Arabidopsis thaliana: one gene and its partners. Each later gene encodes a partner of the first gene's protein in a complex. Each region holds a gene or a part of one and is shown in the gene's direction. Other genes may lie near its edges. The genes, in order: AT2G30120, FRL1 and SUF4.

Region 1 (3,754 bases):
TATATAAAAAAGAACTACAATTTAATATTTATGATCAGCATATTTTTTCTAATGAATTTTTAAATAGTTGAATGACCAAATTTCGATATATCTACCAACATCGTCAATTGATGATTTTTTTTATAACTAATTTTCAGTGTTTTATTTCTAACTTTTACTCTATGTTTTTACGGTAAGATTAGAAGTGTCAAGACTTGGATATTATTTTGCTTTTTATTAGAATTAGTAAATATAAGGAAAACAGAAAGCTAAATTTTTTTAAAAAAAGCTAACTCGGTATTTCTTCTTCATTTTTGTAACAGAAAAACCCCACAAAATTTGTAACTATGCAAAGTCCGAGTGGAAATATAATTTGAGCTTAGGATCATTAAATCCCTATATAGTTAATTAGTACTAAAAGGAATTATAGAAAAGAAAATGACTCAGTTAATAGGACCACTCTAGAGGAAGAATAAATAGTTTAGGTGTTAATGGAGGGATATATTTTAGAATTAGAACTGTCACATTGGGAAGTGGTTCTTCTTGCTAATGTATTTTAGAATCATTCAAAAGAAAGAAGAACTAAATAATTCTCTAAACTAAACATTTAATCAAAATTTTAGAAGACAAAAAAAGAAGAAGAAGAGAGAACAGACATCTTTGGGCACCTCGGAGAAAAATAAGCATGTGAGACTCGATGCACATCATTAAATGCTTTGAGATGACATGGAAGATTCGGTTCTCGGTATTTGCTCTTTTGTTTCTATTTTATTTTCTTACCCAAAGAAAAAAATAAAATCTTTGGAAACGGTGGGGGAGGAGACAAGAAGCAATGTTTGACTGAGTTCAGTTAAAATTTATTGAAGTCTCTTTTGTGTTGAAGAGTTGGGACAAAAAAAAAAAAAAACTTTAAAGACCTGAGGGTTTGGTTTTTGCTTAAACTTTAGTTGAATGAGTGAAAGAAATGAGTTTCTGTTTATGTCGGAATTTAATAAGTCTGTAAGATTCTGTAAGAAACAAAAAGAAGCAATCTGAAACATCAGAGCTTCGTGCTAATCCGTAGACTTGGACTCTAGCTCTTGCCGCCTCGTCTTTTCTTATTTTACAGTTTTAACTCTACCTTCGATATCAATTAGCATATCATTGATTATCACTTTCTGTCAGTAAAAACTTGTATATCGTTAGAAAAAACACTAATAAATGTAATATTTGGCGATACAAAATTAGATTGTATAGGATTTTGTTTTTCTTTTTTTCAAAAATAAACTATTTATTAGAATTTCCAACTTAGACTATATAGTTTCATAATCAAATTTACGATTACTTTTTGTTTTCCATATGAATATGATTATATATTTAAGAATGTTAAAGAAGACTAATTTTTTCATTTATTCCGGTTTGTATATAAATAGGTTACCATTAGATATGTGTTATCTTGGAGTACTCTACAAATATTTTCTTTACCAATTGAATCATTTCAATCTAAAAAAATACTGAACTAATGTCATTGGTGCTATTTATAATTTGACATATAATTTTATTTAATTGTAAAATTTAAATTCTAATCTTTCTATACAAAATTTAAACAAAAATGTAATTAATCTCGTTTAATTGTAAAATCTAAATTCAAACTCTTATTTATAAACACATAATTTATATTTAAATTTTGTTTAATTAAAAGTAAATAGATTTTGAATATTTAAACTAATATGAATATTTTTAAGATGCACATACTTTTTTTTTTTTTTTGGTAAGGTTTAAGATGCACATACTTTCTCTAGGTATCTAGTAATTTATTCCTTCAACGTCTGAATCGGCCTCAAATTTTCTGATTTGGGCTTAGTTTGGTCCAAGTGGGCTTAATCAAGCATATCATAACTGTAGTTTGGGCTCATAACGTTTTTTTTTTTTTTTTTTTTTTGCGCTGCGCAGTTTAGCTTTTGATGGTACGGCTTATTTTAACAACGAACTCGGAATAAAAAAGCTTTTGACAGAGAGAACGACCATAATTCAATTAGGGAAGTACTTTCACAAACCGGAGAAGATTATCGGAGATCGCAAACTATGGCCGGACGAGATCGTTATATTCCATCATCAGCAGTTTCAACTTCATCATCTTCAAGATTATTAGAATCTCAATTAATCGAATCCGATCGAAATCGAGCTCGATCTGTAATCCTCGAGGATCGAATCGCAATCCAACACCGTGAAATCCAATCTCTTCTCAACGACAATCAACGATTAGCTGTAGCACACATCGGACTCAAAGACCAGCTCAATGTAGCTAAGCGTGAGCTCGAACGGTTACTTGAAACCGCTGTTAAAGTTAAAGCGGAAGGAGAAGCTAAAGTGCGTGAGGTTTATCAGAATGCGTTGAGAATGGAGGCGGAGGCTCGTGTGATTGATGGACTTGGAGCTGAGCTTGGTCAGGTTAGGTCTGATGTACAGAGGTTAGGTAGTGATAGACAGGAGTTAGCTACGGAATTGGCTATGTTTGATGATGAGATGGCTAAGGCTAAACCGAATTCGGATCGAGCTATTGAGGTTAAATTGGAGATTGAGATTCTTCGAGGAGAGATTCGTAAAGGAAGGTGAAAATTTGAATTCTCTTTGTTGTTTTTGTTGGAACATTGGATTTGTTATCTTGTAGTGTATACTCATATGATGGTTTTTTGGATGCTTATGGAGTAGTAATGAATTTGTTTGAGGTTTGGGATATGAAACAGGGCTGCTCTTGAGCTGGAGAAGAAGACACGAGCTAGTAACCTTCACCATGAGCGCGGTATGGAGAAGACTATCGATCATTTGAATCGAGAGATTGTAAAACTTGAGGAAGAATTGGTTGATCTGGAGACTAAAGCTAGAGAAGCAAATGCAGCTGCTGAGGCAGCTCCAACCCCAAGTAATTTCTCTGTCTTTTTTAGCTTTTTGCTTTACACAGTTTAACTGCAAAACCACCTTATAGTTTTGATGATTTGTTGATGTAAGGTCCTGGATTGGCTGCAAGTTATGGAAACAACACCGATGATATATATGGAGGTCAAGGCCGGCAATACCCGGAGGCTAATGGTACTCATGAGGTACACATGAGTCTATAGATAAGTAGTAACTTTACGTGATCATCTGTTAGAAGTTCTCCTAATTTAGCATTATTATGGAGAAGGAGAAGATTGGACTAATTGTTTGTAATGATTGGCATACCAAGTTCTGATTGTCTTACATTCTGAACTGATATCTTAGCAAAATAGCTAGTTCTCAGGGAAAAAAGTTATGTTCATAGGTTAGTAAGTGTCCAACTTGTACAAGTATCCGTTGGTTAGTGAGAATTGTTGTAAACTCATAATTGACTGAATTCAACGCTTATGATAAGATTGCGGTTTTACTTTAACATTGTTCGATTCTAGTAGTGTTTAACATCACACAAATATACACTTCAGGCATATAGAGCATCGGATTGTCTCTCTCAAGACCCATCTACTCCATTGCAGCATCCTCTGAATAATACTCAACATTCTAGTGTGTTGTGATAGTGTCTTGCTTACGTTTGAATAGGCCAGCCATATACTTGATTTGACAATTTTTGTTTTAGTGTATCTTATTTAGCGAGTGTATTCAACCAAATAATTTATTTGATTGAAGTTCGAAGAATTTTTCTACTCTGTATTCTCAGTTCGATTTTTGAGGTTTACATTAATTTACATACCTCATCCAACTATAAACAAACAAGGACAAGAGTTTGTGGTCCTTTTAGAATTACAAATTTTTAAAACTATTC
Region 2 (3,754 bases), on another chromosome or scaffold:
CAGTTCAGCTACATACATCTCTTTCCTGTTCTTAACTACAGCTAAGAGACTAAACCGAATCTCATTCTGCGAATACCGGTCAATCTGCTCTTGTACCACAGGTTGGACCATTCTGAGCCACTCGATTCCTTCTGGCTCACCCAGACACTGTCCAAGACTAATGGGTCCTTCTTTAAGACCATCGAGCTCATATAAGATACCATCAACAGGTAAGTAGCTGATGTAATGATACACATCATCATCTTCGTCTAGATTTTTCGCAGCAGCTAATTCTTCATCTTCCATGATGGAAGACGGGTCAGGCCTGGCAAATGTGTTGTGAGCTGCACGTATTGCCTCATTGTTGTTGATGGCTAAACCTTTCAGTTCAGGAGGAAATTCTTTGGCGAATTGTTTCAGTTCTGATAGTTCTGAGCCAATATCAATACTCGAAGAGTTCATGAGGACTGATAATATCGCTTGGGTCGCACAAGCATTGTTGATTATCTGCAAGAAACACATAGTTTATAAAAAAGGTAATGATTGGAAAATCCGTGAGTCACAAATCTAATGTGAGAGTAAAAGACCTGGCTTGCAAAGAAGAAATTCGGGTTTGGCTCTGTGATGACAACACGATTCTCCTTTTCTTCTGGACGCCACTTGTAAAGCAATATCAATCCATAGACAGGTCTGCAAATATCAGACAACTCAAGGTAAATTTGACTTTGTTTTTCTTCTGTTTCGAACAATAGAAGATGAAAGAGTAACAAGTAAACTACCTTATTTCATCCAGAGAGTTGAAGTCCAAGGAATACAATTCCTCAACCTGCACACCTTTCACTTGCATTTGTTGTATAATCTCAGTGAAAATACCTAAAAATATAGAATACAGAAAACCAAAAAATATGAAGAAATAACAAACAAGAAAGCGACATTGGTCTTACTCACATATATGGCACAATGGCTATCGAGAGACACTAATCCACTTAGTATAAGACAAACACCATTGTTGATATATAATTTCAAAAAGCATCAATACTTTTATTTTCCAATCCTCACACAGTAAGTATCACCTCTTGTAGATGCAGAGAAGACTATTTTCAACATTTGTTGGCTTCTAATTTGACAAAATCCAAACATAAATCAGATTCTACAGGAAGCCAAGACTATTTTCCAAACATTTTTAGTGCTCCACTATCAAAACCTCGTTACTGACATCATCTCTTTATATATCCAGAAAACAGGAACCCCAAATTGTTAAAGAGAATATATACCAGGATCAGATTCTACAGGAAGCCAAGACATGGTTCAACGATGACTCGCGCCGGTGAAAATGGGTCTGAATTTAGAATTTTCACTCTCAAATTCGCGCTTATCTATCTCCTCCCATCGATTTCATCGTCTTCACGCTAGCTGCAGACTCGAAAGAGAGACTATAGACTGGTGTGGTCTCGATTTTGTCTTAATAGAGGTCGCTCTAAACCGAGTAGAAACGAAATTGAATTCATCCAAACCATTTCAATTTCTATAAATCGAACCAAATCAAGTGAAAAACAATTCGGTTCTGGTTTTATTAAACTTACTCGAACCGAACCGAACCGATAACGTTCTTATATATCCTTGCCGGAGAGAGCCAAAGAAATCTTAGAGATCAAACAATGACGGCGAGTGAGACTATCGCCACCGCGATAAATCAGATTGATGAGAAGAAGGAAAAGCTAAAGAAAGCTTTCGACGATCTTCAAGCTCATCGCTCTCTCCTTTCACCGTCTTTCTCACTTTCCTGGTCTGAGATCGATTCTCACTTTTCCTCTCTCCAATCCTCCCTTGCTAGCCGTTTCCGCCTCCTCCACTCTACATCTCCTTTGGAACATGATTCGTATAGAATCGACGCTTCTGATGCAGGGAAATCGTCGTCTTCGGAGGAGGTATCGGAGCAACCCGTTGTTGAGCCGGAGTTGAGAGCCTTGTGTGAGAAGATTGACGGAATTGGTTTGATTAAGTATTTGATTAGGATATGGGATGATGAAACTCCTCTCAATCAGGAAGTTTCTGCAGCGATTCGTTACTCTCCGGATACGGCGTCCATGGTGCTTGACGCGATTGAAGGTTCGAACTACACACCGTCATCATCGGGAAGATCATTCGATGTAAGGAGAGTTTTCGTTTTGTTAATGGAAGTTTTGATTGAGATCAATGCGAATATCACTGTTGATACGAGAAATAGAGCTAAGAAACTGGCTTACCATTGGAAATCTAAGGTTGGTGTCAAGCCTTTCGAGGCGTTAGTGTTTCTGCATTTGGTCGCAGCTTTTGAATTAGGATCAGAATTTGACACAGAGGAGCTTTCTGATTACGTTTTCATGATCGCTAAGTATAAGCAAGCAACTTTGGTTTGTAACAAGATTGGTGTAGATAGGAAAAGAGTTGGGAAACTCATCAAGACTCTCTTGGATTCTGGTAAACCAATTTTAGCAGTCAAATTCATGTATGAGTGTGGGATGACTGATGAATTTGAGCCAATCCCTGTTTTGAAATCTTACATTAAGGACTGTAGAGAAGCTGCTCTTAGAGTTTGCGTGGAAGATAACTACTCTCTCAAGTCGCAGAACGAAGCCTCTGATAAAGAAGTCAGTGCCTTGAAACCATTGATCAAAATCATCAAAGATCAGAACCTTGAATCAGAGTTTACTCAGGAGAAAGTTGAGGAACGTGTAGAAGAGCTGGAGAAAAATAAGGCATTGAGGAAACGCAACACGACTAATCCTCCCAAGCAAGAGCCACAGCAAAAGGGGAAAAAGCGGACTAGAGACTGCAAAAATGGGTCACAAGTTCCAGTTCCGAGTCAGCAGCTACTTTCTAGACCAGAAGCTCTTCTTATGCCTGAGCATAGTCATCATGGCTTACAGTTGAACCCTTATGGTCTTATGACCTCAGCATTTTCTGGTGTTGTTGTGAACCCATTAACTGGGCTCTTTGGTTCAGGTGCAACTCCTCAATCTCTTTACTATGCTCAGCAAACTGGATATGTGTTGCCGCCTCAATACCACCCGCCTTATTATTCTCAGTAGCTAGCTGCATCTCGACAATAAGATCTTAATCTCCTCAATGTAAAATGTTATCTTTGTAGAATATTTGCCTTGATGGAAAGTAAAAAAATCATTCTAACTCTATGTCTGAGGAATCTCATTCTTTGTTTTTTTGGTTTATATAGAATAGTAGTGAATTTTTCTACAATATTGGATCATGTTTCCTACATTATAGATTCTTCGAAGAATTCGCCTACCCGCCCGTTGGCGTGTCTTCAAACCTCATCACCTTCTATTTCTAGAGGTACCAGTAGCATATGCGCGAGGAACGAGGCTCTCGACGGGCACCTTAATAGCATCCTTTCTCATACCAATATCTGCAAATAGCTGAATAGCTTTGCTGCCGAAAGGACTAAGTTGCGCAAGCCACGCAGCTGCACTCACTGAGCTGGCTTGACCGCCCCTTCCCAACACATAGTCTTTTCCGACCAGCAAGCTTGTTTTACAATATATTGCAAAATCTTCACAATTGTTTTCCAAAGCATGGTAATCACCAAACCCATTCCGCAATAAGAGGTATTTGGCGCGGGAAATGACTTCATCGCAGGGATCCGAAGGTGCTATAGTGCATGTGCCGCGTCGAGGTTTGGCGATAAATGCAGCTGGAGAGACACTGTACTCGAAAAGATAGATGTTTCCTCCGGCGAGAAAGCAGTCAAGGCAAGAAGAGATTACACCTTCGAGAT
Region 3 (3,754 bases), on another chromosome or scaffold:
TAAGCACAGAGAAACGGCAAAACAAGTGAGAGCCAATTTTGCTTCAATAGGAGAAACGTAGTAGTGGCAGTTTTATTTTAAATGTATAAATTGAAACAAAGTGTTTTTCTCTTGAAGCTGAACATAGATGGTTTCACTTTTGTCTCATGTAAATATGGTCATATGGATTTTGCTTTATCCACAAGGTATCACACTTTGAAATAACTAAAATAAAAAATATGAATCAAGAAAATCAATAAGCCGCTACATGTCACTTCCAAAATTATGAAATATGAGATTCGAATCTAAGAGGAGTCTTAAACTGTTAAACAGAGACGTGTTTACAGTCAAGAGAAATTTATAACATGGGACAAATTTTATTTTATTTTATTTAATAGCGTTACAAATTTACAATGATCATATTACATAAGGAGGATACAAAAGTAGAAGAAGAGCTAGTTTAAAAGTCCCAAGAGTCCAACACTGATTCATGACTCATCGTCTCTTCTATTTCTGCGCTTCCACTATACAAATTAGAACCATCGATTATTTTAACCTTTAGTTTTTCCAAATAATCTCTTGAGTTTAATTTAAAAAATAATATTTTCAGGACTATATGTATACCTAAACAGTGACAATGATGTTTCTAAGATTTAAAACACTTTATTACCGAAATATATCTCAAAATTTTACTATTTCAAAACGTTATGTTGCTATTTTATTTTTCACCACATTTTCGAAACATTAGCATACCGTTCAATCATTTGAACATTCCATTGTTAATCTATTATTATTATTACACTAGTCAAACTTACTTCAAATTTATTTATACAAAGGGGAATATATTTTATATAGTTAGTAAAAATCTCAATAATCATTAAAATAGATTTTCTTTGACATATTTCCAAAATTGTTAGATTGTTTGTTTGTTTTTACCTTCTGAAAAATGGTTACCTAATGTACGACGAGGTTTGCCGGGACATCGACGGTAACAATTCTGAAGGCACGTGATCGGAATTCTTCCTGTGGTGGCACAACCTAGAATGCAATCTTCATGGCATTGAGCTTTCGTCTCTCCATTGACATTTTCCATTGCTATAACCATTGTCACCACAAACACCATTATAATCATTGAATTCCATTTAGCACCCATATCTTTAACTTTTTTGTTGTTGCAAGTGTTTCATGTACTTAAGAAATAATGAATAGCTATCCTCTATTTATAATCTTTTCTAATAGTTATCTAATTCTTAGCTCTTATCGTCTCTTCTTCTTATTTGTTATAGGAATTGCTCTTCTTTTTTTTTCCTGGTCAAAGTTTCTTTGTAATAGAGACTAGTTACTTTTTTGGTTAATCTTCTTCTGTTTTTTTCTCTATTTATAATCTTTTCTAATAGTTATGTAATTCTTAGCTCTTATAGTCTCTTCTTCTTATCTGTTACATGGATTCCTTTTTTCTGGTCAAAGTTTCTTTGTAAGAGAGATTACTTACTTTGTTGGTTAATCTTCTTCTGTTTTCTCACAGTTTATTTTAAGTTAATTTGAGATTAAGTTAATTTGAGATTTCATTGGACAAAGAAAATTAACTCTTGAAAGAATAAAAAATTATGTCAGAAGTGGGGTTTGAACCCACACCCTCTTACGAGGACCAAAACTTGAGTCTAAGGCCTTAGAGCATCCACATTGGTCACTTATATGTAGATGTCTTTAAATATAAAACTATAAATAATAATAATAAAAAAATTATGAATGTTTTTAGTTTGAGATTTGTGTTTCTGTAGAGACACTTTAAACACAACAAAAGTGAAATGTCTTTAATTTTATTATTTATTTATACTAAAAACATCTATAAAAAGTTGTCTAATGAGGTTGCTCTTAGACCACTTGACCATCCTAACGGATAACATAACCAATACTAATAGTATCATTATATAACTTACTAAGCATTTTGGAAAAATATATAATTAAACAAGAGTTATGGGTTCTTTACGAAATATTACACAAGAAAGTACCTTTTCTTATAAATACAAGATAGTAACCATTAGATAAAGTAAAAATAAATAAAAAACAGAGAATCTGAAGATCGTAGAAGAAATCGAGAAAACGCTTTGTACCAATTAGAAACCCTAGCGAGCGGAGGAAGGAGACAAAGAACGAGACTTTTGAGAGATTGGAGATTTCAATTTTGAGATCAAATCTTGAAATCAACAAATAGGAGAAAGATTTAGTGATGGGTAAGAAGAAGAAGAGAGCTACAGAGAAGGTGTGGTGTTATTACTGCGATAGAGAGTTTGATGATGAGAAGATTCTTGTGCAGCATCAGAAAGCTAAGCACTTTAAGTGTCATGTCTGTCATAAGAAGCTTTCTACAGCTAGTGGCATGGTGATTCATGTTCTTCAGGTTCATAAAGAGAATGTTACAAAGTATGTGCCTTTTCTTTTTACCCTTTCCCTATGGCTCTTTTTGTTGTGTTAGGTTGATTTGGAATATTAGGGTTGTTGCCTCTATGATCTTTGTTCAAGTTCTGATTTTTTTTTTGCTCTTGTTGTGTGTGATTGTCGTTTGATTTCTGTTAGATTGCGCTAATTGTGACTGTTGTGTTGTGGTTTGAATCGGTTGATTGTGTATGTTTGCTGGAATTTGAATCGTTTTTTTGGATTATCTCTTGAATGGGTTTGGTTAATTTGTATATGTCTGGTCATAAACCCTAATTTCTGATTGCAATTTTTGTAAAGAAACAGTCTTTTGCTTTTGCTTTTGCTTGATAGGTTTTTCTTGGAATTTGTGGTACTGTTCAATGTGTTTGCCTGTTGAATTTGGAATTTGATTCCATGACACTACTAACTTTGAAATTATCTACAATTTTCACACCAGAGTTCCTAATGCTAAAGACGGTCGAGATTCAACTGATATTGAAATATATGGAATGCAAGGAATTCCACCCCATGTCTTGACTGCTCATTATGGAGAAGAAGGTATGCATTTGAGATAGTGAGAGTACTGTTTAGATTATGAGCAATTGATTTAGAGAAGTAAGGCGATAAATTTGTATGTCTCTTCATCAAGTGTTGTAGATCTATTGCATCTAGTGGTCATGAATTCGTTTTGATTTTGCATGCGGCTTTTTGCCTTATCAAAGTTATTATATATTATTGTTATGTTTGCTTGTTTCATATGGTACCTTTTGAACTGAAGTCATGTTTTCTGCAGAGGATGAGCCTCCAGCCAAAGTTGCAAAAGTTGAGATTCCTTCTGCCCCTCTTGGTGGTGTAGTTCCTAGACCATATGGAATGGTATATCCGCCTCAACAAGTACCTGGTGCTGTACCTGCACGACCAATGTATGTACTAATTATACTATACTCTCTCTATGGCCGTTACTTGTTGAATTCTTAGATGTTGTCTCTGTTTTTAAAAATCCGATCCATGCTAAATGATGGGGAACTTTTTTTCTTTTAGTTCTCTTGATGCAAAAGGTTCTTGGTTTCTTTAGTTTGTCTCTGTCCTAGAACTTTTCTACTTTTGTTCTTCTATAAGACCACTATAACACCCGTAGTAAACATTTTTTGAAATAGATCGTTATCTAAGATATTGTTGCACTTAACCAACTATGACCCATAAGGTTCTTAGTTTCCCTAGCTTGTTCTCGTGATTTTTCAGGATAGAACTTTGTCCTAGAACCATTCTTTTGCTCCTCTTCAAGACCACAATAACACCTGTAGTAAACAGTTTTTTGAAATAGTTCATGATCTTAGATATTGTAATATGTATGGCT

The links.
Region 2: AT2G30120 (region 1) and FRL1 share a complex: the UniProt entries of both Arabidopsis thaliana proteins name them as parts of the transcription activator complex.
Region 3: AT2G30120 (region 1) and SUF4 share a complex: the UniProt entries of both Arabidopsis thaliana proteins name them as parts of the transcription activator complex.

Annotation. Positions count from the first base shown.
Region 1 is NC_003071.7:12,860,152-12,863,905, reverse strand, and holds the start of AT2G30120 (protein FLC EXPRESSOR), read left to right. Parts: upstream 1-1,934; 5' UTR 1,935-2,043; coding exon 2,044-2,570; coding exon of another isoform or gene 2,571-2,574; exon of another isoform or gene 2,575-2,687; coding exon of another isoform or gene 2,688-2,700; exon of another isoform or gene 2,701-2,705; coding exon 2,706-2,881; intron 2,882-2,967; coding exon 2,968-3,059; coding exon of another isoform or gene 3,060-3,077; exon of another isoform or gene 3,078-3,227; coding exon of another isoform or gene 3,228-3,299; exon of another isoform or gene 3,300-3,416; coding exon 3,417-3,506; 3' UTR 3,507-3,754. UniProt on the Arabidopsis thaliana protein: Transactivator required for FRIGIDA-mediated activation of FLC and for the expression of the repressors of flowering AGL27/MAF1 and AGL31/MAF2. Does not alter expression of known activators of FLC expression.
Region 2 is NC_003076.8:5,342,870-5,346,623, forward strand, and holds FRL1 (FRIGIDA like 1), read left to right. Parts: upstream 1-1,625; 5' UTR 1,626-1,637; coding exon 1,638-3,050; 3' UTR 3,051-3,237; downstream 3,238-3,754. Other genes in the region: UCH1 (Peptidase C12, ubiquitin carboxyl-terminal hydrolase 1), read right to left, coding at 1-486, 567-669, 759-852, 1,254-1,284; AT5G16330 (NC domain-containing protein-like protein), read right to left, coding at 3,294-3,754. UniProt on the Arabidopsis thaliana protein: Required for FRI-mediated up-regulation of FLC transcripts, but not redundant with FRI and only partially redundant with FRL2. Required for the stabilization of the FRI-C complex.
Region 3 is NC_003070.9:11,042,049-11,045,802, reverse strand, and holds the start of SUF4 (zinc finger (C2H2 type) family protein), read left to right. Parts: upstream 1-2,029; 5' UTR 2,030-2,209; coding exon 2,210-2,403; coding exon of another isoform or gene 2,404-2,407; intron 2,408-2,854; coding exon 2,855-2,955; intron 2,956-3,190; coding exon 3,191-3,320; intron 3,321-3,754. Other genes in the region: AT1G30972 (Plant thionin family protein), read right to left, coding at 893-1,132. UniProt on the Arabidopsis thaliana protein: Sequence-specific DNA binding factor that recognizes the 5'-CCAAATTTTAAGTTT-3' sequence. Recruits the FRI-C complex to the FLC promoter. Required for FRI-mediated FLC activation, but has no effect on the expression of MAF1, MAF2, MAF3, MAF5, UFC and CO.